Rhinolophus ferrumequinum: one gene and its partners. The protein of the gene in region 2 interacts with the protein of the main gene of each other region in a pairwise test. Links are inferred from orthologs where the notes say so. Each region holds a gene or a part of one and is shown on either strand. Other genes may lie near its edges.

Region 1 (10,341 bases), on a different chromosome or scaffold from region 2:
GCACGGAGCTCTAACCCGCTAAGCCACCGGGTCAGCCCCCGGGTAGCCTTTAAAAATAACCACGTGGAGCTGAGCCATTGGAAAGTTAGTGACCTCCGCCCAACCACCTTCTACGTACTAAGCACCTGCGACCCTGCTCTCTATCTCCTGCTCGCTAGTGAGCTGAGAGGGCGGGCTGCCCTTCCCCGGGCTCACTGCACCCCCACCCCCATGTATGGCATCTAGAGTAATAAATCTGTGACTCTACTTGTCCTGTGTGGCTGTACTGAAACTATGCCTTCAATCAGAAGCAGCCCAGGTTTTTCACTTCCGCAAAGCGGGAGCTCAGATGCTAAGGGAGCTTGTGCCCCTCATTCTAATCTGCATATGAGCGTAATACACCAGCTGCAGGCCCCCCAACTCAACAGAGAAGTACCATCTTGCTCCAGGTCACAAAGCTAGGAAGTGAAATGCAGGCAGCTTGCCTCCAGAGCCCTGTATTCCCAATTTCTCTCTCTGTGCTGCCTCTCCTCGTGCCTACTCCAAGTGTGGTCTCAACTGGTCACAGCAGGAAGAGACCGCCTCCCTGGCTCTAAATATTATTAATACAACCTAAGATCAGATGGCAGTCACATCACATCATCACGGGCATCTGCACTTTGCTAAATGTGTACCCACCTCCTACTTCCCTCCTTTTCCTTGCCAAAAGGGTCCATTAAAGCTACGACCCTGGAGACAAAAGTATGTGGCAGGAGGTCCTGAGGTGGCCGGAAAGGAGTGGACAGGCAGAGAGAAGGCTAAGAATAAGAGCGGGCCAGACACAGAAGGAAGCCAACGAAGGGCCAGAGGGTAAAGCAGCAAGCAGGTCACCATGGAGAAGTGATGCCAGAGGCCGGCGCAGGAAGACTGTGGGCTGGTTTAGGGCCAATCTCACAAATACCAAGTTCCCATCGCATTAATCCCGAGCCCTTAAAGGAACACCAGTCACTATACTCAACAGTATCTAAAAAGCACGGGCACTCCGCAGCCCTCGGAAACTGCGACACACTTGTAGGTAGGAGCAACCAAGGAGACAAGCGCCACGCTCCAAAGGCTTTAGACATTGAGGGGAGCGGCAGGATGAACAAGCTGGATCTCTTCACGGACGTGGTAAACCTGCTTTCTTTCATGTGGTCTCTACACCTTCTTCTCCAAGACCCAGACACCTTAATTACTTCCTACCTCTATGTCCTCTGTTCACACGTCCCATCGCTCCCTCCCACCCTTCCTCTCCATTTACACAAAAGCCATTCATCCTTGGCGGTCTTTTAGCCCCAATGCTGTGAATACTTACTTCTTGATCACCTCTGTTTGTGGTTAAGTTCTTCCTCCTTGGAACTGACAGTATTTGCCCATGATGTCTCGACAGTTTTATCTATTATTTCATTCTTACCAGTTAATTTTGTTCCCAGAAAAAAGATATAATGTGCTACTTTATATAATTTATAGTATCTTGAACAGTTTTTTAAAAACATATTACGTATTACCTTTTTAGTGGCTGTAAACCCTGGAAGGAAAATAAATGAACAGCTCTAGAAAATGTATCCATTAGTTTTAATCCTTTTGCACTGAAGCCTGACATACGAAAACTATTATACAAGTTGTGAAATATTCTGAGTGACCAACAGATTGGAGTCTCTAGGACAAAATCAGTCATTGTTCAAAGTCTCGAGAGAATACAGCTGAATTCCAGTTTAATAATTAATTTTTTGTTATGAAGCCAAATGCGATGCGATTGAGAAAGATCTAATCTAGAATCTATGATGAAGAACAGGGGAGTCCCTGGCCTCTGGCGACATTTTAAAAAGCCGACTGGAAATCACAACTGTAACTCATGATAAAACTGCTCCAGCTATAACATCACGGATTCTTGCTCCTGGCGAGACTTGTAAGAACTCAATACAATTACTGGAGCTGGTTATAGAGTAAAAACCTCTGAATGTCAGTTACGTTTTTAATTAGTAAAGGGCAACTGAACTATAATTTCATAAATAAAGCTTTTAAAACAAATAAAATCTTTAAAAGAATCCTGTTAGGGAAAAACTAATTAAAAATTTTTCGTAGTGTTGGGGGGGTTGGAGCTCCAAGGAACTTGAAAACAGCGATTGTCTTAATCACGTGGGCATTTACTGTGTGCTTTACATCCATGTTCTCACTTAATCCTCAGCTTACAGATGAGGAAACTGAGCTCAAAGAGTTGAACAGCTTGTCCAAGGCCCATCTGGTAAGCGGCCAATCAAGAACCAAACGCAGGGCAATGAACTCGAAAGCTCACGGTCCTAATCACTGCATTACCCTAGCTTATTCCGCTCCCTTCCCTCACGCAGTTTGGATAAGCTTTGGCTCCCCAACAACCAGAGGAGGAAGATTTTCTTCTAGGTTCGAGCTTAGGCAAGAAGAATCCTGGGAGGAAACAAGGCTCTCGGTGGGCGCCTGTGGTACGTGCATCATTGCGGGACTTCCATCTCTCAGACCAGGTCTGGGGAAATGTGAATCTTCCAAGAACTCTTGAATTTCTGTGGCACAACTCTCGAAGAAATCCATGGAATTCTGGTAATAATGATCCCAAATTCTTCATTCCATTGCCTTAGTATGTAACTTCTCTTGACTGTGGAGGTCATTTGATCAGTATTCAAAGCCAAATTCATGGAGAACTGAAGACTGGGAAGAGAAAAGTGGTAACACATGACATTCTTTTCAGCACTGCATGCTATCTGCCCATTTGTCCTGACCTTTTTTCCTTTTTTTTAGGTAAAAGATACTCTAGGATAGGGCACAGATATTGGTCAATAAATCATTTCCGATTCAAAGAGGTCACTCCAGACACAAAAGAGGTGCCAAGCTCTATTAGCTGGGAACGTCAGCAGTGCCACTCCAGGCCTGCAGCCCCTGCGCTGGGCTGATGACAGAACACTTCCTGTTTCAATTCCTTAAATTAGGAGCATAGTGTGGTCCTGTAGGTTTCCTATTGTTGGATGTTTTCTGCTAAGTCCAAGTAGAGAATGATTCCAATCTCAAGATTCAAGCTTCAGCCAGAACTCAGCTAGAATCCAACAATTTTTATCTTGCAATTTTCTTTACTAGGGTAAACCAGGCTTGAATTATCTGAGACATTTATGACTTGATCACAGTGGCAAAGATGACACTGGTTTCTGCCATAGAACTCCAGTGGCAGAAAGGAATGCAAGGTTACATGGCCACGAACTTGTCTTGAACTAGATAAAGTAGGTAAACCAGTATGTCTGGATATCTATTCACTGAACATAAAGATGAAACTGACCCAGGCTGGCAAACATAAAAATCCTCGGGGGTTAAGCAAATTGAAAGGGAGTTCTGGAGGTAGATTTCAGAAAAAAACGGCTATTATCTTTGGGGAACTATTTCATATAATCTGGGACAAAGGGCCTCACCAAATGGCAGTAGTCAAATTCAATGGAGGTCGAGGTCTGCATGCAAACTGCCTTCATTCATCTGAGTTAGAGCCTGTTTAAAAGCTGTCACTTTAGGAAGCACTGAAATCCACCAGGTCACGTGCAAGGCAGCTAAAGTGGTACTATGTGCATAAATCTTTTTTATTTGCATCAGAAAGGCATCAATTACCTCATGCTACAATATGTAATTAAGAAGTAAATGTGTTGTTTTGCTTAGCTTTACAAGATATTGTTACTGCAAGAATAAAAGTTGTGATTTTAACTGGCCACATTTCTACATAAGAAACGTGAATAGAACAAAGTCTATCACTACCTAAGCTGTGTCCCTTATATGGAAACATCCTACATATTGTCGAGGAAACGTCCAAACCTGTAGAGAATTTTTGTGAGTTTATTTGAGCCAAACTGAGGACAATTGCTGGGAAGCAGAATCTCAACGGATTGGAAAAATGCTCCATTGGAGAATGGCAGTTCTGCAGCTTATTTTATTAATTAGAATAAAAGGAGACTCAAAGGTTACATGAAATCCATTGATGGTAGATTAAGGGGGCGGGAGAAAGCAAAGGGAGGGGTGGGATTTCTGGGATTGGATAAAAAGCCAAAATAGAAAACCCAGACTTCTTTTACACTGGCGGGTGCAGGATAGTTAATAATTAACATTACAGCACATAGACGTGGTATTTGGAGAATGGAGAACAAGAAAACAGTTTGGGATGAACGAGCTTCACACAGACAGAACCAAATACAAAGATTCACAAACTATTAGTCAGAGGAGAACTCAGAAACGTCTGGGATAATGTTTCTCTCTCTTGAAGAAAAGAAGGGTTCGTTCATTTGGTAGTTGAGTACCTATTATGTACTAAGGATGGTGATGCTGGGGGTTGGGAGGCCGAATGGGGTTGAAAGATGGCTAGAAAGGTTTAAGTGGTAAGGATGTAGAGTAGTCACTGGTGGAGTATGGAAAGGCTGACCCAACACAGCTGGAAGGGACAAAGGGCCACTTGCAGCTCAGCACCAAAAATCTGTGGAGTCCCCAGCTGTGGGCATTCAATGTTGAAAGGGTAAATGGAAAGAGGTGCTGGGCTGGATTGAGACCCGGCCTCAGCTCTGCCACTAACCAGTGGGATAGCTCTGGCCAGCTACGTAGCATTCCGAAGGGTCTGTGTTCTAAGTTCTCTTTTTGCTGATGAAAACAAAAACACTGACAAGCATGCCACTAAAGACCTCTGTTTTTGCAATACACCATTAGTCAATATTCTCTGACTAGTTACACGAACGGTTCACAATATTCCATCCAATCACCAACGGTGTGAAAGACACACAGCACCCAATACAGTTCCCTGGCGGGGTATTTCTTTTCACATCCGTCTCAGAAAAAGAAACACCTGGCAACATCTATATTTTGGATTTCTTGTCTTAGGGGAATTAAACATATGGCAGGGAATAAATCTGACTTTATCTTAAATGTCCAGAGCGGGGGGCCACCCTTTTCTAAACCCTTACACATTCAATCTAGTCTGTAGATAGGGAATCCTTAGCACGGGGGTCCCTGGATAGCATTTTAGGGGGGGTTCATAAACACCCTGAAATTATATGCAAACTGGTTTCCTATAGGCATGTATGCGCAAACTTTCTTTGCGTTTTCAAGTACATCCATAAACACCCTTCTGCCAAATGTTAAGAAGCAGTGCTCTACGAATTAAGAATGTTCCTTTTCTTTAGCAACTTTTCTATTGGTTAATAAATGGGTCTCATTCCCATAGTGTCTACTGGTTAATATTCTCAACCGTTAGGCAAGAAGACTCGGACAAAACGGAGTTGCTGGATACAGCGTAACCTACTGTGCGAAATGCTCCATTGTAAGATACAAAACAAAAGCACAAGAACACAAATCCTGACGCTGGACACACGTAGTAGTTCCACAGTTTAAAAACGTGTCTGCAGACTTCGCCTTCGCCGACCCTACACAGTGGCGCCATTTCGGGCAAGTTATTTCGCCTCTAAGGTGTCACCGCGGAGAACAGACGCGAGCTGGAAGGCGGATGGGTCCGTTTGTTCTCCTCCTCCCCCGAGGCCATCCCTCCGGGCTCCGCAGTCCCGGGCCTTCCGACCGCTCCGCAGCCAGGTATGCGGCGGGCGCTCGGGGCAGGGCTGCCGAGGACACGATGGCGGCACCGCGCTCCCGACGTGACGCTGTCCCCGTGTCACTCACGTTTTCCGGGCCGCGGCCTGTCCCTGCTCGGCCCTGCAGCACCCCCACGGAACACCGCGAGCCTCGGCCAAGCTCGCTGACTGACCTCACCCTCCTGAGCGCCCCGCAAAGCCCCGCGCGTCCGCCCCGCAGCGGCCAACCGCGCGCGAGCGCCTCAAACGCGCACGGCAGCCGGCACGTGACCAACGCGCGTAAACTGCGGCCGGCGCGCGCAGGCGTGAGACGGGGCCGCTCCTCCCAGCGACGGTTTCCCAGTAGCGAGGCGCATGCGCCGCGCGGCGCCCCTCCCCCCCGCCTGAGGAAGATGGTGCGCGGCCTGAGGCCCCGGCGCGCCTGCGCAGTAGGCGGACGCGGGCGTTTCTTTCCTCCCTTTTTTTCGAATTGGGTTTGAGGGTTAGGTTAGAGTTACAAAATGGCGGCCTGGAGTGTGTGCGGCGCTGTTCCCCCGGCAGGCTCCGGCTGAGCGGACAAGTCTCCTCCTCGCTGCCGAACACAGAGACCAGGCCCCCAGGGGACATGCTGTTTGGGACTCTGCGCTTACTGATCCCCGAGTCCTTCGAGAATCTCGGCGCTCCGGAAGCGGCCAGGCGCGCTCAGCCGGCGACCCGCAGCCGCTTGAGACTCGAGCGACGCGGCCTCGTCCTCGCACCTGCTCATCGCCGCGCACCCACGCTTCGCCGCGCCCACCACCCAGCGAGTACTGCGGCGGCCGCCCCGGAGGTGAGACGCGGATGGGCAACATGGGAGGGGATGGGGCCGAGCGCCCGAGCCCGGGTGTCGGGACGACCGGGCGGCAGCCGGGTGTAGGGCCCGGGCCTGGGGGGGAGGAACCGGGGTCCGGGTCCGGGACCCGGCCTGGAAAGGGGGTCATGGGAAGGGGGAGCTGGGGCGTGGGGCTCGGGCCTGGGGAGGGGGCGCCGGGGTCTGGGTACGGGACTCGGGCCTGGAATGGGGACCCTGTGAAAGAGGACCTGGGGTGCGGAGTCCCGGCCAGGGGAGGAGGAGGCCGATCAGGGTACGGGACCCGGGCCTGGAAAGAGGAGTCTGGGAAGGAAGAGCCAGAATGAAGAGCCCGGGCCTGGGGAGCGGGCGCCGGGCGGGGTACGCGGGACGGTTGGGGGATCCCGGGAGGGTGGGGCGGGATGACAGCCGCCACGCAGTCGGGGCTGTTTATGAAGCCCGGCTCGGGGCTGACCTGTCTGGGCTGCGGACTGGCTCACGCTCGCCGGGGTGCCGGGCCTCTGCGGCCCGGGTGGAGGCGGGAGGCCGGAGCGAATACCCGAGGCCATCTGGTTTACTTCCTAGCGGTTCCTCTCGGTACTTCCTTCCCCTTGGCCGTCTCACCGCTCTTCTCCTCCCCCCCCACTGCTTTGGCCTGGCTTCACTTTCTTACCGCAATCCCAGGCCATCGATCACCCCATTACTCTGTTCCTTTAAGAAGCGATTTCTTTTCCCCTGGCGTTTCAGTCTCGGGGTCCGCCCCCTTGTTCTCTTTTTCCCCGGGACACTACACTATCAAGTACGGTCAAATCTGTTTTCATCTTAGGATAAACTAATGTCTACTGAAGTTCAACCCCTGGAGCTGGGCAGCACCAAGTGGTAGAGACCACAAAACTACTTGGGGTGCCAGAAAAATGTATCCAATTGGGCACTTTGGTCAGCGTTGCTCAAGCAGTAGTTTTCCGTAATCAGAAGTGTCTGGACACTGATGGTAACCACTTTGAGCACCTACTGTCATTGCAGAAGTCAAACGTGACTTGTATTCAGTTTTTGTTATTAGTATATATCAAGTATTACAATTTTAATACAGTTTTCCTTTCTTAAAATGTGTGTACATTTTTTTGGCACCCTCTGTGTAATAGGCACAAATAATAAAAGTTTTTCCAATTACCAGAAGTTTCAATTTGCTGTCACAAGGAATCATTTAATAACTCGGTACCTTTTAAACCACAAGCCCAAACTTTTTAAGTACCTTATAATAATAGCTGTCACATAAGACTGTCTAGGTGCCAGGGCTTATTCCAAGTACTTACAGCGATTTTTTTCCCTCTTCTTTCATAAAAAGAAAATTTATTGTCTGAAGTGTCATGCTTTGAAGTAAAATACGGAGTTGTTAAAATATTTTAAAGCCCGACTCATAATTTAAGTAAATTCTCTTTTTCCACACTATAACTTTTATGTTTTGGAGAAAATAGAGTATTTTATAGCCTCTCCTTCTAACAACAATTGTTTCTTTAATATTTATTAAGCCCTTTTTCTGTTTCAGGCACTATTCTAAACTAAGTTTTTTGTTTATCTCATTTAACTTTCACACCTCCCCGTTCTACAGATGAAGAAACTGAGGCACAAAAATTAACTTGCCCAAGGTTTCCAGCAATAAAATGGGAAAACTGGGATGCCAAACGGTATTTTCTTAAATATGTAGTGTCCCAGATCACTGAGTGGACAACAGCTAGAACTTGCCCGGAGAAGGGCAGGTTTGGGCATTTGGAGTCCGCATCAGTAAACAAAACAGATCACTGCCCTCTGGTTAGTTACTGATGAATATGGTCGAATCTGGGAGCAAGCTACATTAATGTAGGATGTTTTGCTATGCCAATTATCTCTTCAGTTGTGGGTATGAGCTAGAGGTTAAAGTTTTACTTTATTACAGGTTTTGCCCTTTTAGCTCCACCCCTTTTTGCCAGTTAATAACTTAAGTTATTAAGTTACCAGTTAATAGTTAACCTTAATAGCAAAAATGACTGTTTCAACTTCTCTCCTCTTCTGCCCTCTGGTGGAAGTGTTAGTTACTGAACAGGAAAATGGCCAAAAGAAAGCATCTGGCCTCTGAACAGTAAAAGTTCAGTAAGGAATAATGTCTAAAAGTACATTGTTTTTGTTTGGATTACAAAGAGTAATAGCAAAGCTTGACCCGATGTTTGGGGAGAGACATTATAAAAGAGGATTCAAAGATTATTAGGATATCATTAAAAGCTGAAAAACTCCTATGTAATTACAGGGGGTTAGATTTTGGAGGGCTTTGGAAGTCAGCATTTGAATTTTGTAGATACTAAAAAGTAGTAGGTGAAATATAAGTTTGTATCTTAATGACTGTGAAGTTTCAGAAACTTTTCTGGTGGGTTGTGGTGTAGAAGGAAAGGGGGACAGAGCAAGTATCAGAAAGGCGTCTAGGCAGGTTTCAGGAGCCCTGAACTAAGGGGTAAATTCCTGGGCAAGGTGGGTGGCAGAGGAATTAGAGGGTTTTTGTCCATGTAACTGGTCAGTTAGGGAGGAAGTCGGCCCAGCACTCACAGTGGCGCACGCTCGCCATTGATTGTTTTTATGTTTTTTATAGCAAAAGGCTATGATGTTAGGATAAGAAAGCAAACTACAAATTTTAAGGGACAGATGCAAGCACCCTCTTTGGATAGGTACTTATATTACTGCAGAGATAATACTGTCAGCCCGCCCCCCGCCCCCCTTTCCCTGTAACGTAGTGGTGTTCGAGGAGTTGAGCTCATGGGTTATTTTTGAAGGGTTATAGATTCTCGGAATGTTAACATATCAATATTAATTACATTTGAATTTTTAAATTATGTCCTACCTTAGCAATATACAATTTGGGGTAATTAACTGTTCAGTCTTCGGAAATGTATTTCTATCAACTGTCTGTAGCCTAAAGAAGGGTGTTCACGCTATGAAAGTATTACCAATGCCTTATTAAAATTCTTTCCTAAGAATGAACTTCTTTGTTGGATCATCTTTAAGATAATTTTAATTACTAAAAATGTTTTGTCTGTAGCAAGATTGTAAGTGTCATTTGCATAGAATAAGTTAAGCACGTGATCCTGTAAGCAGTACTGACGATTTCAGATTTTAAACAAATCGATTGAGGTGTCCTTAATTTTGTCCAAATAAAGTTGGTTTAGTGTTGTTCGGAAAGTGCCAGTGTTCCCTAGAAGACCTCGCTGCCTCCTTTGTTGGATTCGAAACACAGGGAGCCTAACTACACAGTTCCCGTTCAAGCCCTTCCCACTGGTGTCAGGAATGTTGTTGTTTCGTTTCATGTTCGAGTGAGTGTAAGAGTGATGTCTTGGGCTAGAAAAGCAAACTTTTTACGTCTAACCTTTTTACTTTTAGGTTCGAAAAAATGGCCAAAAGAATTGCCGAGAAGGAATTGACAGATAGGAACTGGGATCAGGAAGACGAAGCAGAAGAGGTAAAAAGGGGGTTCCCTGGGAGTGATTTCCTAGTGCCTCTAAATTTAAGTTCGCTTTGGGGTTCCTCATGAAGACTTTGTGGTAAAATTCAAAGGTCTTTTTCTTTAAGACCATCCTGGATGGGAAATGCTGTGGTGTCTTAGGACCTGTACTCACTATAGGAACGTGTTGAGTCCGTTTGGATGTGCCTTTCCGCCAGCGCCCGTTCCCTGAATGTTCTCCTTCCTCCTGAATTTCGTGTATTTGCAGCATTCTAAATCCATGGTTTCAGTCCAGACTGAGGAGTGAGTGAGTGATCGTGAAGTTAGCACAGGGCCACTCAGACTTGAAAAGTGGTACGCTGTCTTGGGCTGCCGTAGCCATGACAAAATTTCAGATTGAGGTCACCGCCCTTACCCTCCTGCTTCATAGGCCAGCTTTATTGTATATTCTCAGAGCTCTGGGACTCCCCTTCTGCCCCCCCTAGTAACGGCATTAA
Region 2 (9,812 bases):
TGGTAAGTAAAAGAACACCCTCTGGAAATTGGACTGAGTGTATTTCTCCCTAGAAAACTACTCTCAATGTAGCTGAACATTTACTATTAAGTATCTGCCTCAAAATTCTCTTAAACTGAGGACTACTGTTACTTGTTATATAAAAGTGGAACAACTTTACCTTCTAATGGAGTGTCTAAAGATTGGCATGCTTTGTTTTCACGTGAGTTTCCATGTCTTGATTACAATCTTCTATTTTTCCACAGAATGGACAATCGGGAGGACTATACATTGTTTCATAAATTGATCCTTTTATTTTGGATAAGTCACACTGTTTTTCCTTACTTTTCAGGAATTTTCTAGACTCAGTTAAGTTCTCCGAGTAAAAGGCTTTGTGGTTTAAAGTACCATCCTTAGGCAGGCTTTGAGCTGAAATTTTCGGATGATTAGATGCACCAGCTGAATGAATACTTGAATTAATTTCCATTCTACACTGTAGGGTGTTGTCCTCCCTGTTATCTGAAGTTTCATACTGTCTTGTGTTGACCCTTTCCAAGTTTCTTTCTAGTTCATTTTGTTCAAAGTGAGCAGTTTCAATATGAAAACACATTTCGTCATAATTCACACCTGACAACTTGCAAAATGGACATATAACTTCATTTTCCATGTGAACAATTAGGAGGTGAGCCTTCATATCTGGTTCTGAGGTTACTGTTTCACCACAAATATCACAAGAAAGCATGGTACATCAGGTAGCTAGAAAAGAACACAATATTATGTTAAGTTAGAAAGAGCTGGAGAAAAAGAAAATGCATTTTATAAATGATTTGGAACAATTAAACTTATTTAAAGCTGGATTATTTAGATGAAGAAATTTTCAATGTACCTACTGTTCCTCAAATATACAAACTTATAAATTTCAACCAAAATTTCACTGCTGTATTTTAAGTTTATAGTTTCAATAAAACAAAGGTAATAATTCAAATTAAAAAAAATAATTTTTCAAATATTTCCAAAAATGTGTCCGGTCTGAGGTAGAAAAAAAGTAACATTTATAAAATTGCTCAGGTAAGAAAAATCAGGTAAGAGAAAACGAAGAGAAGTTTTATCAACTGATGTATCTAAATACACAACCTTAAAGTTAATGATAGGGAGGGTAAATAAACACATCTTAACAATAGCAGTTAACAGTTAAAGAGCTTAACACAAAGCGAAATAAGTCAGACAGAGAAAGATAAGTACCATATGATCTCACTTATTTGCGGATTCTAAAGAAAAGAATAAGTGAATGAACTAATCAGAAACAGTTTTGGAGACAAAGAGGAAAAACTGAGGGTTGCTGGATGGGCGGGAGGGGTGGGGAGTGGGGGGGAGGGTGAGGGGATTGAAGGGCAGTCGGTGACCACAGGATGGCCACGGGTTTGAAAATTAATCTGGGGAACGTAATTTGGTGGCTACCAGAGGGTAAGGGGGTTGGGGGGTGGGGGATGAGGGTGAGGGGGATCAAATGTATGGTGATGGAAGGGGAGCTGACTCTGGGTGGTGAACACACAGTGTGATTTATGGATGATGTGATACAGAATTGCACACCTGAAATCTATGTAATTTTACTAACAATTGTAACCCCAATAAATTAAAAAATAAAGAGAAAAAAAAGAGCTTAACACATATCAAACTAATTTAAGTACCATTATAATACTATACGGAGTAAACCCTAGATCAGATATGTCACAACAGGCAGAAAGTGAACCCAGTCAGGCTCCAGAGGCTGTACTCTCAACCTAAAGAATAGAAGGAGAGTGAGCAAAGTAGAAAAGAACACTGATTCCAGAGTTAAAATAACTGGGTTATAATCTGTTTCAGAATTTTAGATAAAACACATCACCTCTTTGAGCTTCCGTTTATAGAATAAGTTGTACTAAATCAGCAGTCACTTTTGAGTTTTATGGACTTAAAAGTACTGGCTACCGACAAAAAGTGATTTTGCTAAGAAATATTTTTTTAAAAAGCACCGCCACAACCTTCCTACCACAGACCATCGTTCAGCTGAGGACTATTTAAAAACAAACAGAAAAAAAAAAAGATATGGAAACTATTCTCATCATTTAAATAAATTTAGCTTTATAAGCACTCCTTACACTGTCCTTATTTTTCTCATTTTCCTTTAGAGAAGTGAAAATAGTCCGGTTTTAGAAGAAAATTTTCCCAATCCGTCAGTGTAAAGAACGTCACACCAGAGTTTCTTCTTTTCTCGTGGCTGGGCCACGGCTAGACACAGAAGGATACACTTCAACTCCCACTTTGCGTGAGCTGGAAGGAGGCGGGCGACAGGTGCTGGGATGGGCATGCAATGAGAGAGGCGGCAAGGGCCAGAATGCAGCAAAGCCGAGGCTGCCCAAAGATCCTCTCCCACGTCCCGACCCAGGACACAAAACAAGCTCAGACACTTACTGGGTCAAAGATTTGGGCCTGGGAAATGAGGGCTGGGACCGTCAGTTTCTACACGCTCGGAGCTGACAGCATCTGGCTCGCCGGAAGAGGAATACGTGAGCGGCGTTGATTACCTTTCCCGGCCTGAAAGACAAAGGCAGGCCCTCTCTTCACCCAGAGATTCAGTTAACGGAGAAAAGAACCAGCGACTTCAAAAGACTTCAGCCTCCAGTATCACATTCAAAAAAAGCTTTCCCTCTGTTCCCGGAAGGGGAGGGCTCCCAGCATGCGCCGGTCTAGGTTGTACTGCATTCTGGAAGTTGTAGTCATTTTTCCATCCTCCCATTAGGGTTCGACTCCTAATTTACTAGGAGAGACACTAGGCTCTGAGGTCTTTCTGAAAGAATTACTAGGGCTGGTCCTAGGGCATTCATTACACGAGTCCACAGTATCCACTGTATAGGGCCAGAGTAGTACTCTATTCTATTACCAATAAAGGGCTTAAAGTGCTAGCAAGTGTCACACTCTAAACTATGCTCCACAGATAGAGGACGACTAAAACAGATTCTTGCCTCAAGGTTGCAAGATCATGTGTATTAATACCTTATTTTTATGGTTCAGTCCTTATTTCATTCAACAATATTTAATGAGTGTTTATTAGAAAAGCATTCTGCTTGAAACTGGAACTGTAGCAGTAATCAAAATACACAAAATCCAGGCCATTTGAAGCTTACATTCTGGCAGAGAAATAAATAAATAAACTGATAATGATAAGTTTTCCTTCATAGTAGGAAATAAAACTGGGTTATTTATAGAAAGGACAAATGTCCTTAGCCAATGTCTTTTTGAGTAAACAATGAACAAACTTTGCACCAACAGGAGGAGGAAGAGCATTCTAGGCAGAGAAAATAATAAGAATGAAGGCCTTAAGACTGGAGCAAAAAGAACATTTTGTGATTTGAGCATAACGTTCCAGAAGTGGTTACAATGTGAGGTCATAGTTGTACACAGGTCCTTGTAGAAAACTATTGCAGTTTTTAAATAGAATGGCATGAACTGATGAGGTACAGTATATATTTTAAAAATCATTTTTGGGGTTGAGTAGTTGAGCACGACAAATTGAACATGTGCGTTTATATTCCCTGCTTCTCAAAATCTAAAATGATAGAAGAATAAAACTAATAATAAAAATACATACTAATGAGATGTTTTAAAAATTTGAAAGCTAGAAAAAGGATGGATGAGTAGTAACCAAGTTAGCTAAGAAGTCAATCAATAACTAGTCAATTCATACACCATAACTGTGGAGATGTTCAGAAAGTAAAGACCAGATACTTCTGGAAAAGATATTAAATTGGGGCCTGAAAAGAGGAATATTTCGCTGAAATTCTGAACAAGGAGCAGTTACAACCCTACCTCTAGATTTCCTCTATCATCAGGTTGCCAAGTGACTCAGCTTTCCCCCAAAGACAGAACACTACAGGTTTAGTTTATGAAGAAAATGAAACTGAGAGGCTATGAAGTTAGAAATGCACAGCTAAGGGTGGGAGTCAAAATGTTGGACTAAAAATGGGGAATAATGGAAGCTAAATTCTGAATTATGATGCCCTTAGCCATTTTCTACCATCACATTCTGATGTCTGATTTGTGCCTCCAAATCAGGAGGTTGGAGAATACTTCTCCAGAGAAAACCACTGGTCCAAGAGAATGACTTTTAGAAAACTACAGATAATGACTTTTAGAAAATCCTCCAGTGAAATAGCCTAGATCCTATTTTATCACTCTGTAAGGAGGCCAACAGTAAACAAGCCCCACTAATACACAAGCTTACAATAGGTTTCTTTAGTGTCTCACTCTTAAATACAAATGAATTCTCAAGAATCACCAGGCATTGGAGTGCAGTCTGTTGTAGGAAAGAAGAAAAATCCAAAATGATCAAAAAGGAAAAAAATGAACTCTGAAGAAACATAGATAATGAATAAAATAGAAAAAGAATACTTCAAGGAAACTGCAATTAATATCTTCAGAGAGACAAGAAAAGATATTTAATGCCTGAATCAAAAATAGGAAATAGCTCTGGGAATTAAAAAATACAGTAACAAGAACATATATATATATATATGTATATATACATACATACATATATATATGTATATATATAGTGCCAAAAAATGCATACACATTTTAAGAAAGGAAACAACTATATTAAAATTGTAATAATATGTACCGATAACAAAAGCTAAATACAAGTCATGTGTATACATTTTTTGGGCACCCCTGGTGTGTGTGTGTGTGTGTGTGTGTGTGTGTGTATGTGTGTATATATATATATATATATATATAGAGAGAGAGAGAGAGAGAGAGAGAGATAATCCCCAAAATTTTTAAAACATAGAACAAGAGATGGAAAATAGGAGCTTTTTGGGGGTAGGAATCATGTATAATTTATCTTGTACATTCTGTGCCTAGCATTGCATCTAGAAAACAGTCTGTTTTTAATATTGTTTGAACTCCAGGGTGGATTACAAGGCTATACATATTTATAATAATTTAGTTATTTACTTCATATATCAGTGACTACTTTTTTTTTTGACAAAAATCTACAGATGTTATAGAATACAAAATTTTAAATAAATGGCAAATTGAAAAACTTGAAAACAAGGAGAGCATATGGGAAGAAGTTAATGAAGCTGAAGAAGGCAAGAGCCTCTGTAAAGCTCCATGAGGTTGGGTTTTTTATCCGTTGTGTATACTGCTGTAGCTCCAATATTTAAAACAATACCTGGCACAGATTAGGCCCTCCATTAGTACTATGTTGTTGGATGGATGGATGGATGGATGGATGGATGGATGCCAAACTGATAAACGAATGAATGATCAAACAAGTGAATGATCGACTGAGAACCCTCACGGAGGACTAGGGCAGTAGGACACACTCCTGCCACAGGGACTGCGCTCAGTGAGCGTGTGCAGACGCCGGCTCCTCCTTTGGTGGGTGCGGCTGGAACGCGTCTTCTCCCCGCCCCGCTGCGGATCTGTGCAGCCTTCGCCGCCGCCACCGCGGCTGCTGCGGTTGCCTCATGCAAGGGCTTCTGGGAGCCGAACCTCGGGGTCTCGGGGAAGGGGCTCAGGTGGCCGCCATTTTGAGTTGCGAACCTGATCGCTACGCTGAACGCTAGGGGCGGAGTGGCGACCACGTTGTTACCCGGAGCAGACGCCGCAGCGGAGGACTAGAAGTCAGGGTACCGGATCGTGCCACTTTAATGGGTAAGTGGGAGTGATGCAGGCCAGGTTGGGTGACCATCGGGCTTGGTCTCTTTGGGAGCTAGGAATTCCTGGGCTGTTTGTATTTACCCCTTTCCTTGCATAGGGTTCAGGACCAGGCCATGCCGGGCGTTTTCTCAGGGTGCCCTAAGGGAGACCGCGGTGGCGGGGGCGTGGCAGGCGGACCTTTCCCTAGCGGACGCGGAGGCGCGGGGAGTACAGATCCTCTTAGACAGCCAGGCTTGGTCCTCGGAAGGAGCTTGAGGCAGCCAATATCATCCACTCGCCGCTCCTCTTCGCCTTTTCTCAGTAGTTTCTCTTCTCAAACCTTGACATTCACTCCTGGGACTCAGCGTCTGTGTTCTGCAGCTTATTAGAAGTACCATAGTGTCAAGAATAAGGCAGGTTCAGTCCCCGGGGCCTACACGTCGCACCCTCTACCTCGACCAGCGGCCCTCTTCCACTTGGATGCAGGTGCCTGGAAGGACTCAGTCCCCACGACGGCAAGCGTGGGTTAGATGCCTCTCATAGTCTGCCAACTCCTAAGACCAAAATTTAGTAGTGTTTCCTCAATAATGCGTAAGATATGAAAGGATCTGAAAGCTGTGAAATGGGATGGTGATACTGAAGAAGAATATGCCATTGGCATTTACTCGTGGGCTTTTTTTACACAGTAAAAATGTTTCTGACTTGATGTCTCCATTACAACGTTCAATGATTCATTTGCTGTAGGAAAGTGACTTATTTTCTGGGTTAACAAGAAACAATTCTATTCTTTGGATCTTTCGGTACTGTTTGTTCAGTTGTAGGGGCTGAAGTCAGCACACCTCCCCCTTTGTACCAGTCATGTAATTTTACTAATGGGCACCCAAACCCATAGAGTTGGAGGCTTACAAGCACAAGAAATTCTGGTAATAGATGTAGAAAAATTTTGCATTCCAGTTATTTGCCTATCCTCAACACAGTTTTTCAAAGAGCTGAGTAAAAAATAAGCTTATGACAGAAAAAACAATTCCTCTGTTCTGCAACCTTAAAGTATCTGAATAGCATTTCTTAAATTTAAAATAACTTGTATGAGACAGCAGCCTTAATTAAACTAAGAACAGATACTACACTTGATCTTAGCCAAAAGGTTGAGAAGAGATAACAGCAGCCTTTAAAGTACCTTCAAAGTTATTTTCCAGAGAATGAAACAATCCTATTGGGTGAAGCACCTAGAGAGATCATTTTCCTTAGACTTTATGTCTTCTTTAAAGCAACGGCAGTGAGGATGAAGATGTTTAAATAAGAGGCAAGAAATTAGTACGGTAGAAGAAAGAGGAACAAATGATATATGAGTTGTTGGCTAGATTTTAGTTCGTTAACATGTTTATATTGAAAGGTTTAATATGGTCACTAGATTAATGGTCTTAGAAGTACTGTCTAGTACGTGTGTTGAGCAGAGGCACAAGGTGATTTAATCAGACGTGGAAAGGAAAAAAATAGAATTTACATTAGTTTACCTTTAAAAGCTATTAACTTTAAAAACATTTCTGTTTCTGGATTTTATAATGGGATAGTTTATTAGGCTAGTAATACATGTGTATAAATATATAAACATTGAGAATGAATATGCAATATATAAGGGTATGTGATCAAAAAAAGTTTAGAGGCCAAGGGCCTAGATTATGCCTAATGTGTAGGTGATAAATATTTTTAAGAGGATTATTGCTGTGAACATTTCATTTTGCTCAAGTATTTTATACTTACTGAGTATAACTCAACAATGTTGAAGCTCAGTTTTATCTGTAATGAACTCTGATCTCTATTTTTCTCCTCTAAGAGATTAAGCTCTTATTAATGAGACAGAATTTTTATATATGAAATAATTAGAGAATAATGCTAAACATTGTTATTAATAAAGTTTGAGCTGTTTCTAATGATAAATATTCGTAGGTGCACACCGTATTGCTGAGTCAATTCATTATATATTTTAAAGAAGGATTTTGGTCGATTGCAAATGTACTTTAATTACTAGGATATACGTGTGTTAAGTTCAAAGGCACAAAGTACCTTTTAAATCATTCCTAAGTCCTCATTCCATTCTGTTCTACCTTTAGCTCCACCACTAATGAAATTTCTCTCACTATCTTTACCAGTGACCTAATTATCAAATCTGATGTCTCTTATAGTACTTGGTTTATTGTAGGCACTTACGTTTGCCGGGTGGATCAATGAATGCGTAAATTGAGTGGCCTGTTTGTGCTGTGGTACTATGTGAAATATTTCTTTATGTTTTGAATTCTGTTCTTTTTCATGACTCTTATTCTGTTTCTTTGTCCTTTTTCTTTTTGGTTTCCTTTGCTTTTTTCTTTTCTACTCAAATGTGAACATCTTCAAGATTTCTCCTTTGGTCATCTTTCTTTTGTAGCTCTACATGATCTTGGATGATCAATCAGGAGGACTTTTCTCCTGAATTTTGACACATATTTCAACCATCTATATGTGCCCAAAGTACTATAAATTTGACATGTTTAAAATGGACACCACTATACACCTATTAGAATGGCTCCAGTTCAGTCCTGACACTGCCAAGTGTAGACAGGATGTTGAGCAACAAGAACCATTAAACACTGATGAGAATGCAAAATGTTTGTTACTTTGCAGTTTGAAAGTTTGTTCTGAAATCTGAAGCATACACTTGCCATGTTATCTATCAATCCTTACTCCTAGATATTTACCCAAGAAAAATGAAAACTTATATTTGCACAAAAACCTGTACATGAATATTTATAACAGATTTATTCGTAACTGCCCTGAACTAAAAACAACCTAAACGTCCTTCACCTCATAAACTGTGAAATATCCATACAGTAGAATATTACTTAACAATAAGCAGGAATATAAACTATTGGTACATACCGACAATCTGAACAACTCACAGATACACTATGCAAAATGAAAGAAGCTAGTTTAAAACTATACACTGTTACTATTCCATTTATGTGACATTCAGGAAAAGGCAGAACTGTGAAGGTGGAGAACAAATCAGTGATTGCCAGGTGTTAAGGGTTGGAGGAGAGCTAATAGCCCGAGGAAGTGTTTTAGGGGTGATAGAGCTGTTCTGTATCTTGATTGTGATGTTTATATGCCCATGCATTTTCAAGTTTATAGGACCATATACTAAAATAGTGATTCCTTTACTGCATGTAAATTTAAAAAATAAAACAATTGTATTCATAATTTTTGTCTCAAAAACAAGCAGGCAAGCAAACCAAACCATCTCTCTGATCCTCCATCTATATTCCCTGTCTTGGGTTATTTTGTCATTATGCTATAGCTCAAGCTGAAAACCATGTAGTCATCAACTCCCTTTTCTTCCTCACCATACATTCCTTACATTTGTTTTGCCTGTAGTTGCATCAGTTTCTGAAATGTTTCTGGAATCAAACTGTCTTCTATATTTCCAGTGCAGCTACTAATTTAGTTCAGTTCTTCATCATCAAGATTTGAAACAACCTTCTCTTTAATTTTTCTAGTTGTATTCCTTAGTATTGAGTCCAGATTTCTCAACCAGATTACAGGCACCATATGTGTTCTTAGCTATCTTTATAGCTTTATCTTCTCCTTCTCCCATGTGTCCTCTTGTTCAGGCACACTCAGTTTCTTACTGTTTTGGTTTATGTCAGGCTTCTGAAGAATTTTGCCATTACATATGTTCCCTCTGCTTGAGATGCTTGTTCCTTCCTTTTCCCTTTCATCCTCTTCCCTAGGAAATTCTTGCTCATCCTTTAAGACAGGATAAACTGTTAGGACTTACAAAACTCCTTGAGGCCCAGTTTGTTGCTTTGTCTTCTGTACTCTCATAGGATCAAATGCAAATGTCTTAGTGTAGTTTACTACTCACAATATAATTTGCCTGTCATTAGTCTATCTCTTCTACATCAGGGATGGCAGAGAAATGCCAGCCTCTTCTCTGTGTTTACTTTCTAAGTGCTAATTGATCACTACATCCTCTCTGGTTGGACATGGGTATGTTCTCTGAATTTATCAGAATAACATTCCAGGTAGCCATTAATTATCATGTTAAATTCAAGTTGAAACCCTGCATTAGACTCATTTTTTTATGTGTAAATCCAAGATAGGTTATAATATCAGTA
Region 3 (9,852 bases), on a different chromosome or scaffold from region 2:
ATTCTATAGAAGACTATTTAATAGCATGGAACTATATTAATAATATATTGTTAACTGAAAAAAGCAAGTTACAGTATCATCCCACTTTCAAAAAATTTTTTAAATATCATATATAGTATTTCCTAGGTACTTGAAAGGTTTTTTTTTTCTACTTACTATTTCTGAAATAAAGATGCCTCATAATCGATATGAATACTTAATGTAGTGGGTTCCCCCCTCGCTGCCTCCCTGAAAAGCTGTTATTAATGAGATGATGCTTCTGGCAATCTGAGACTTGAGAAAGTGCCATATGTGTGTACAGAAAAGACTGGAAGAATAGACACCAAAACGTGATCAGTGTGTGCTTAGCCCTGAATTTAGATTTTTATTTTCTTCTCTTTGTTAAGTATAGTTTCCAGATTTTCTATAGTATATGCATAGATAAACATAAAAAGAAATCAGGAACCTGGCTGCCCTGCTTTCCTTTTTCCTTCCTTTTTAAAAGATCTAATTGGCTTTATTGAGTGATTCATGAATTGGGCAGCATCCCATCTAGCAACTAGGAGGGCACTCCTGCCCTGCTTTTCAAGAAGTATAACGTAAGGGTATTTGGGACTTTTGGCCTTTGCCAAAATAAGAAACTAGCAAATTAGGGAACGCATATTCCACCTCAGGAGTGTCAGAGTCTCGAGTGAGGAACGACTACCTTGCATGGCCACCTAGGGGCCCATGTCTGGACCTGAGCTGGCAAAGCAAGTTGGAGAACAGATGGGAAAAGTTCAGTCAGCAAGAGCAGGACTCTTGGATCAGTCTTAGTTCTGTGTGGACAAGGAAATCCCTGTGAGGTAGGAGAGAGTCCAGATGGTTAGAATGCTGGCTAATTATGGCGGAGCTACATACCCACCACTGTGGGGCTACTCAGATCTTTTCCAGTCTGGCTCAGGAGCATGTTCCCAGTCCCTGAAGAGAGCCTAAGGACTGTGTGAAACAGAAAAGGAATCCACTCCTTTTGAAAGTCAAAACTTATGTTGGTTTGGGGTGAGCCCCTTCCTCAGCCAAACGGTTAGGGTAACTACATGAAATGAAGGACATGGAGCAGAGATGGAGGACTGATGGCCACAGCAGAACTTCTCCAGCCCCTGAGGAGGCCAGAAAGTTCTGGGCCTCTGCTTAGGGTAAGGGAGAGACTGGGGCAGTGACTGTGGCAGGGGCACAGAGGAGAGTGCCAGGCACTGTACCAGGCAGGAATTCACCCATGTGATCATGCCTAATCCTCACAACAGGCCTCAGATGAGCAGCCTGAGGTTCAGAGAGATTAGGTGGTTTGTCCAAAAGCACACAGCCAATAAGTGATGGAACAGAACAGGATTCCCACATCACTAGAGTCCTTCTCTAAAAAGGGAAAAATATTTAGCAAAGTTAATACTCATATTTATCATATTAACTCATTTATTGTAATGATAGGTGGAAAACACAAGTTTCAAAAATTCAATCTGATCCCAGTATTTTTTTAAAAAAAATGTATACTATAGGGAAAAAAAAGCTGATAGGTATATCTCAACGGTAGGAATTTAATTTTTAAATGTTATTTTTCTGTGCTTTTTTTCTTTCCCCCTCACAATGAGCATGTAAATCTTCTTAAAGCGGAGAAAATAAAAACAGGTTTTTCAGAAGCAGTTGTGAGGACTAGTAGATCAAAGTAATAAGAATGAATTACATGGCAAAGAAATCCAGATTCTTACTAGCTATGTGAGTTCCACTTGGCTTCTCCAAGTCTGTTTCCTAAACAATAAAAAGGGATTATAGTCTTGTCCCAGTGAGCTGTTGCCAGGATTAACTGAAATGCAATATACACGAAAGTCCCAAGCACAGTACTTGGCATAAGGATGGTGCTTAATAAATATTAAACCTGGCTCTTGGTAGTCATAGCTCTTCCTTGCTGCCCCAGGAAGGCCCAGCACCTACAGCTGTTTCAGAGAGCAGAAAGGAATCTGGTTCCCTTGGCAAGGACCCCTTACTTGACCTGCAGCTGTCTACACACCTGATACTGCCCCCTCCTCTGTTTTTACCATGTGGAGACTTATAGGATCTCATTCCTTAACCCATTTTCATCTAACTATTTGCCTCTCCTCTTCCTTTGTCTCAAGTCTCAGCTGCCAAATAGTATTGAGTACAGGCGACACTATTTTCAGCATAACACATTTGCCGAGCACCTATGTTCTAAAGATGTCCCAGGCTCCTACGCTCCATTTATATCATCCAGAAATACTTGTATGAACTCACAGTCTAGTTGAAATTTTAGATCCTTCCACAACTCTTATGTGTTGCCTAACTGCTATAAAGGGTACACACTCCATGTTGTGGAAACTCAGAGGAAACAGTTACCATTGTATGCACATGTGTATGGGAGAGGAGGAAAAGGATGGAAATTATAGCATTTAAAGAATAATGATTTCCTCACCCTATATTAGGCATCATCTTCGTATACTGTCTTTACTAAAGAAAAAGGGTACCATTCTGCCAAATTGGTTTCAAAGCCAGTTAAACCAATGCCTGAGTGGGGCTGGTTCCTCTTATCTTCAGATTTATTAAAGTTTGTTCCCAACCAAAAAATGAGTGGAAGGCTTGGGGGCATCTGACAGTTTGATGAATGGCCTGCGAGAGCTAAGGCAGTGGAGTGGAGAGTAAGTCCAAAGAGTTACAAACTAGCTTAGAGTGTTCTCCTCAAACAATTTGGAGCTTACTGGAATTACACACACATTCTAACAAACAGGCAATTTTAAGACTCAAAGGGGTGCCGAAACCAGACATCATTTGATATTTTTATTACTTATTAGGCAAACATTAATATCAATGGAAGCAAAAAAAGATTCACCCATACATAGTTCAGGCTCCCTAACAAACTAATAGGCTGTTTTCACTTTTCCTTGTTTCTTTCTAGCCCTTGTTCAAATCCATAAATCCATAAACATGATAATAATTGTGGATTAGGTACAATGATATATTCTACTTTTCTTACACCCAGATGCATACTCAGAATGATGTTAAGTATAGCAGTAGTCAAAACCAGGGCACTGTGACAACAGCCCCTTCAGGCCTGTAAACTGACAGTCCAGTGGAAGATGTTGGCAGGCCAGTGAGACACACCCTGTTCTGCCTGTGTTATTTATGCCTCTGGCAGTGAAGCCCCTGACAAAGAAGCATGTCACTGGAACACATGCTCTTTGTTCACAGAGGTGCATGCCAGCACCGGCTGTGTCAGAAGGGACAGTACCGGGTCTGTAGTCTCTCCTCCTTTGGCTCTTTTGCTTTCTTTTTACTTGCTGTACATTGTGGCTATGTTTATTAATTACTTTGTAGTTTAATTTTATAAAGCACACATTTATCTTGTGAGGAAAGAGTCCTTCATACCCTTGAGTTGTCATAGAGGACAGGGTCCCAAGATTTGTCTAGTTTCTCCCTAAGGACCAGAACCACCTCCCTCGCGAGTCACCAGGTTACCTCTCTCTAGCACAGAGCTACCACATTCCAGTCTCCTTCAGCATCTCCCCTTTACCTGCAAGAGGGTACCTGCATGTTGTTTGGTATTAAAGGTCCTCTGCAAATGTTCCAAATCAGATCCCCATGCTACGACTTCATTGCAGTTAGACTGATAGTGTAGCAGTAAAGATGGCAGGCTTTGGAGTCAGACCTATCTGGGTTTGAATCCTAGATCCACCTCTTGTTGGCCATGCAGCTTAGGGTTCCTGAGCTTCAGTTCCTCCTCTGTAAAATGATTAAAATACAATCTACTTCACAGGGTTGTCTTTGGATTAAATGAGAAAGAGCATATCAAGGGCTAAAAGTGGATGCCCAATCTTGTTAGCTCATGGAACTGATTTGCTAGTTTTCTGTAAAACTCTTCATCTCATGGCCCTGTGGTTCTCATAACCTAATAATTACAGACCTCGCGTGACATCCTGAAGAGTACTCCCTCACCATTTTCCCATCACGGAGATATCTGCTGAGACTAACATTTTAATACTAGACTCAGGAAACAACAAATGAAAGTTTTTGCCCTTTTCCAAAGTCCTTCTAAAACTTGCTTTTGCTTTGAAATTTTAATTCATCCCATATTTTAAAAATTGATATAAGTGGCTTTGTTTGCCACAGGTAAAATGGGAGGGGGGTCTTTCTTAACTTTAATAAAATCTTTGGTTAACTAATAGCATTGTGTTTTTCTCTATTCGTAAGTTGTTCCCAATCTTTGGAGCCTCTTGTCTATTTTAGAATTAAGATGGTATCGGATTAGACACATGACGTATTTACTTATTTTAAATTGAATATAACCATACGTTACTCCCCAGAGGTCCGCAAAGAAAACATAGTGCTCTAACCCTGGTTCTCAGGGTGCTCTCTTGAGCCAGACTATTACAAAGGCTACCTGCCAAGCTTCAGCAAAACCGAGACCATCTAGAATTTACACACCTCACAGGGGTCCACTAAGGAATAATGGGATAAAAGTCTGCGGGGAAACTGTAAAACACGGAGGCCCCATTAGAAATGCTAATTGCTGCCTTGCTAGCCTACATTTAAATGTTAGAAACCCAGGGAGATTCTCCCGAACTTGGGGACGCTCGGCTACTCTGTGGCTTGGGCTGGCTGCCGGGCTGCCCCAGACCCCGCCGGCCGCGAAGGCCAACTCCTCCTGGTGCCACGTGGTACAACACCGGCCGGCCACGATTCCGCTCTCGACTGGGGTCCTTGCAGCCCTTCCAACTATCACGGGGCGAAGGATACGGAAGGATTCGGGCTGCTGATCCACACCGTGTAGGGGAGCAGAAGGTTAACCCGCAAGCTCCGCGTCCCGCGCTCCTTCACGTCTCCCGCCTTTGCAGGCGTCGGGCTGGCTTGGTCGAGTCTCAGCGGACCGACTTGGTCTTACGGACCCCCGAAGCAGGACTGTAAAGCCTCCACCCGAGCCCTCCACGCAAACGTGCGAGCGCGGGCCACAGACCCGCGTCTGGGCGCAGCGAGGTGGGGTCCGGGGGGCGGTGGTCTCAGCACGGCGGCGGGCGGGGAAGCCCCCGAGGAAGATCTTACATCAGCCACCCCACGTGCAACCGGAGGGAGGGGTGGAAGTCGCTCGGGTCCCCCAGGCAGCGCCTTTCCCTCCAGCCTCTGCCCCTCCCGCCGCGTCTCCCCGCCCCGTCCTTGGTTCATCCTCAGCCACCGAGTCGAGCGGCGCCGCTCCGGGCCGTGTGGTGCTGAGCAGCCGCCTGCGCCGCGTCGCCGGTTTAAGCGCAGTGCGGGGCCGCGGCCGGGGGCGGCGGTAGTGAGACCAGCGTTACGCTCCAGCCCCCTTTTCCCTCCATGGTTTCTCTCGGCTCCCGTGAGTAACTTGGCTCCGGGGGCTCCACTCGCCTGCCCGCCCGCCGCCCGCCGCCCAGGACCGCGCCGCCGGCCTCTGCCGCCAGTAGACCCCTTCCGACGGCCCTCGCAGCGCAGGCCGGGCCGCCTCTCCCCCCTCCGCCCCTGCCGCGGAAAGTTAAGTTTGAAGAGGGGGGAAGAGGGAAACATGGACATGAAGAGGAGGATCCACCTGGAGCTGAGGAACCGGACCCCGGCAGCGGTAAGCAGAGCCCCCCTTCGGGCGTCCTCTCTCTCCGATGACTTGCATGTAATGGTGGCCACCTGCGGGGCCCCGGGTGCGGGTTCGCCAGCCCCGGCGCGGGGAAGGGCGCAACTCGCGGGCTCGGACCGGGAAGGCGGGCAGGCGGGCGCGGAGGGGGGAGCGAGCGCGCGGGGATTAACTCTTTGGCGCCCGCGGGCCCCCGCGGCCGTCCGAGGAAGGCGGTGGGGTGGGGGAAAACAAACTTTGAGCTCCTCGCCCACCTGGGTCCTTCCCGGAGCAGCGCGCGTGTGTGTGGCAGACGGCGAGGGAGGGACAAGGGGGTTGTGTAACGCTGGGAGCCATGTTTGCAGCCTCCCGGGATGCGCGGCCGAGCGGGGACCCGGCCTGCGGAGGAGCCGCGCGGCCAGCCGGGGCTGGGCCCGCTGCGGGCCAGGCCGGGCTTCGCGCGCCCCGGGCCGGCGGGGCAAGGGGCTCAGGCGGGAAGGGGTCTCCCGTGGCCTGCTCTTGCGGTTGGCGCCGGCCCGACCGAGGGCAGGAACTGTAGGGCGAGGAGTGGGCTTTCTGCCTCGGAAGGGGGGGCTAGAAGCCCCCTCGGGTGACCGGGGGCTTCGGGCGGGCGCGGCCTGGCGCGCGCGGAGCGGGGGAGGGGCGAGGCCGGGCCGCGGAGGTGGCGCAACCGCCGCCCCTCGTCAGGCCAAGTTTGAAAAAAGGACGCGGTTCCCGCCATTTTTCAAGCCTAAAAATAAAACTTTCTGTCCCCATTTCTCTCCCTTCCCTTTTGCCCTCCGGGCCTTCCTCACTCCCGGCCTTCAAGGGCGGGCCCTGGTCGGCCCAGGCCAGCCGTTGTGACGGTGGCGGCGGCTTCGCCCTCCCCCCGCGCCGCGGCGGCGCAGCCCGGGGCCCCTGCCCGGGAGGTTGGCCCCTCGGTGTGGGCGGGCAGCGGCTCCACGCGCCAGCCGGGGCGCGCCACAGGCCGACACAGCGCCATGTTGGCGGGCACCCGTCTCCCTCCGCCGCGGGAGCTGGCCTGCGGGCTCGGCCCAGCCCGCCCGTCCGCCCCCGGCGGTGGCTGCGGGCTGCCGCTCCCCGAGCCGAGCTCGCGGCTTGTGTTCTGCTCGCCTCTCCGGAGCTCGGCTCGCACTGGCGGGAGCTGCGCGCTTCGCCGCCGCCGACTCATCTCCGCTCTGGAGCTCTGCTGTCCTCCTCCCCCTTCTTAAAAGGGCAATGCCGGCGGCCGGCTCCGCCCGGGCCAGGAGCCGGGGGTGCGGGCGGGCCTCGGCGGCCTCGGCCCCCCACAAGTGCACGAATGAGGCTGACCCAGGCCGGCACTTGCTGGCCGCGGCGGCGTGAGCTGCGGGCAAGCCTTTAAAAATCGCCTCTTCTCCACCCCGCGGACTAGAGCGGCTTCCCGCGGCCGGGTGCAGGGCCACGGTACCCGGCCCCCGCGTGGGGAGGCCGCCCATCTGCCAGACCCCCTCCTCGGGTGAGTGGCGGGCTCTAGCCGTGGGGGAGCACTGGGGAAGCCCTCCCACCCCGCCCCAGTCCCGCAACGGGCGCGTTTCGTGCAGTCAGGTAGCTGTGGGTAACAAGTTACCAACTTGTGGAAATTCATCAACCAGGATTTTCCTGGTGTGCACGAGGTTTTGAATCCCTCAGGTCACCACAAATGAGGTTCGGGGCGCAGCACCACGTGGCCACCCCGAGCATCCCTGAGGGAGCTGAAGGCGTGGGCGTCTCTACTAATCCCTGGGGTTTTAAAGTTGAGGTGGGACCCAGCTCGTCCCTTCCGTTCATCAGTCAGACATTTTGTGTCGGCCACGTGCTAGTATATTGAAGGGTTAAACCTCTTCGCACTGTAAAACTCGACGAGTTCTCTTCTCGTTTTTTGAGACGTTGTTAATTTCAGACGTTTGCGTTATTACTGAGTAGTTATAAATCAGTAGAATGTGGAGTAATTACATTTAGCCAGAATTTCCGAAAAAGAAAAGTACTACACACTTGGGTCTTCCAAGTATTTTCAAATCGAGAATTTGAATTCTTTGTGCAGTAACTAAAGTACTATTAAAGTACTTACTCGGTAAGGATCAGTGTTGCTTTCTCTGGGAAGTACAACTGGGCTGGTGATCCCACTATATGGAATTTTTCATATATGAGATGACTAATATATTGCTCTTTGAAAAGTATGCATTTTTGTGCAAGTGTTAATTTTTCAAGTAATCAACTTAGGCCTTACCCTCTTGCCAAACACAGGCTAGTTAATTAACATTAAATTAAAAGGTCGGTTTGACAGTTGCACTATCCACATTTCACGTGCTCAAAAGCCATAATTGACTAGTGGCTATTGTACTGGTCAGCACTGGTCTACAGCAATCCACTGGTTTATTAAATATTTGAGTACCAACAGTATGCCAGGACCTGGAGAAGCAGTGTGAACAGCACTTGAGAGCTTACCCCTTCTCTCCTGACCTCTGTGGTGCCTATTGTACTGGCCTTGAAAGTGTTAACTGGAGCCAGCCAATATCGTGGGGGAGAAAGACAGGCTGCCCTAGAGATTCACAGGGAGACTGAGAGCAGGAGTAGGTTCTTAAGAGATTGATTCTCTTTGACTTTTAAACTGAAGGCTTTTGTGGGTAAAAATGCTGTAGATTTTGACGAGATACTTAAGAGCAGCTAAAAAGTGTTTTTGAAGAACAGCATCATCCTTAAGGCAAATGGGAAGTTCCAAAATGATTCCTTTAAAGCCCAAATCAGCTAGTCACAGGCTCCTCATATTTTGTGTGGGGCCAGGAGTAGGTTTGGCTTCTGGGATCCGACAGAATCTCATCATTTGAGGAAAGAGGAAGAATCCTTCGTCTTTTGAATGTATGGGCAAGAGGCTCTTAAATGCAGAAGAGTGTACCCCTGGCCGAGGTTAATGTCATTAAGTAAGATCTAAGTGTTTGAGGAGGGTAAGTGGAGGTTGGATCATAAATGTTTTTAGGGTTTTTTGGGTTTTTTTTAAAGACCAGATTGGCCTGTGTTGTGTATGGCTTTTTTGTTCTTTATTTTGGGGTTTGCAGAAGACCCTGGTAACACTTTACCTTCTTGTGTTCTTTGGCCAAAGGCTTAGATCAAGATAATAGGTTCAGTTCACCTAGTACCATATCCATGTTGTTTATAAACACAAGTATTCTCATTTCTCTAATGGGGAACTAAAATATATATATAATTCCATTTTTTCTAAGTCCGAAACAGCTCCTTATGTCAGAGGTGTGTTCTCATAGTGGAAAAACTGACTAAGATGGATTTTAAAAATAATCTTCATAAAGAATGGTGATAACCATTTAAAAATATAGGAATATTTTACATAAAATATTTGTATTGCCAGTTACTTCACTGCGAACAAATTGTACAGCCCTAAAATATACCATATACACCACAGAAATTGTTGATAGGAGCACCTTGTTAACTGTGCATCTAGAAACAGCTAGCTTTGCTGTTAGCCCTGTTTGAGTTTTTCCTTCCAAGTTAGAAGGCCAAGCAGTTCCTGTGGTTCACAGTCTATGCCCCTGTGGAACACTAGGTGTGCTTGCAAGACTGAGACATTTTATATGCCATAAATAAGAAGTCTTTCCTTAGTCCCAATTTATTGAAGAAAAAAATTAGGTTTTTCTCACATTTTCTCCAATTTTGGGCATCTATTGTTTATTGTTGTGTCTATTGTGATGTAAGTTTGAGCTCAACAGGATATTTTAATTGGTTGCATAGCAACTAATTGGGCTTTTTCCTTGTATAAATAATACATATTCATTGAAGAAAAATTAGACCGATAAGCCAAAAAATATTAGATACAGATAAGTAAAAAATTTAAAAAATATAAATCTCTCACGCACATACTCATCCTATCATCTAGACATTCTGGTGTGTTAAATTTATTTAGTTATATAAATAAAATACAGTAAACATCTTTATCTTTCCGTCATTATTTATTATAGCGTCGTTGTTACTCTATGCGTAGATCATAATTTAATCATCCCTATGGGGTGGTTAGAAGGTTTTTTGGTTTTTAGAATGGTTCCCTTCTTTACCCACCAGTAGAATTTGGGTGTTTCCTTCATGCCAATAGCTCTGCCACCTAATCGCATTTGAGAACCAGTAATATAAATCTGTTCTATTGTCATTTTGACAACATTTCTTTTAAAATAATAGTAGGGTAGAAAGTTTGAACATTGGTTAACTCAGAAGGATGGAAGTTAGCAAGAGTGGCAGGAGTTGCTTTT

Evidence for each region.
Region 1: the proteins of KPNA5 (region 2) and NUP50 interact in binary tests that used the Homo sapiens proteins (3 or more experiments, as listed by UniProt). The two-hybrid records come from large-scale screens. The link is inferred for Rhinolophus ferrumequinum from reciprocal best matches to the Homo sapiens genes KPNA5 and NUP50.
Region 3: the proteins of KPNA5 (region 2) and ANP32B interact in binary tests that used the Homo sapiens proteins (3 or more experiments, as listed by UniProt). The two-hybrid records come from large-scale screens. The link is inferred for Rhinolophus ferrumequinum from reciprocal best matches to the Homo sapiens genes KPNA5 and ANP32B.

The regions. Positions count from the first base shown.
Region 1 is NC_046293.1:3,879,311-3,889,651, reverse strand, and holds the start of NUP50 (nuclear pore complex protein Nup50), read left to right. Parts: upstream 1-6,058; 5' UTR 6,059-6,381; intron 6,382-9,783; 5' UTR 9,784-9,793; coding exon 9,794-9,862; intron 9,863-10,341. UniProt on the Homo sapiens protein: Component of the nuclear pore complex that has a direct role in nuclear protein import. Actively displaces NLSs from importin-alpha, and facilitates disassembly of the importin-alpha:beta-cargo complex and importin recycling.
Region 2 is NC_046286.1:67,628,061-67,637,872, forward strand, and holds the start of KPNA5 (importin subunit alpha-6), read left to right. Parts: upstream 1-5,422; 5' UTR 5,423-5,672; coding exon 5,673-5,676; intron 5,677-6,716; exon of another isoform or gene 6,717-6,818; intron 6,819-9,812. UniProt on the Homo sapiens protein: Functions in nuclear protein import as an adapter protein for nuclear receptor KPNB1. Binds specifically and directly to substrates containing either a simple or bipartite NLS motif.
Region 3 is NC_046295.1:54,415,503-54,425,354, forward strand, and holds the start of ANP32B (acidic leucine-rich nuclear phosphoprotein 32 family member B), read left to right. Parts: upstream 1-5,169; 5' UTR 5,170-5,536; coding exon 5,537-5,590; intron 5,591-9,852. UniProt on the Homo sapiens protein: Multifunctional protein that is involved in the regulation of many processes including cell proliferation, apoptosis, cell cycle progression or transcription.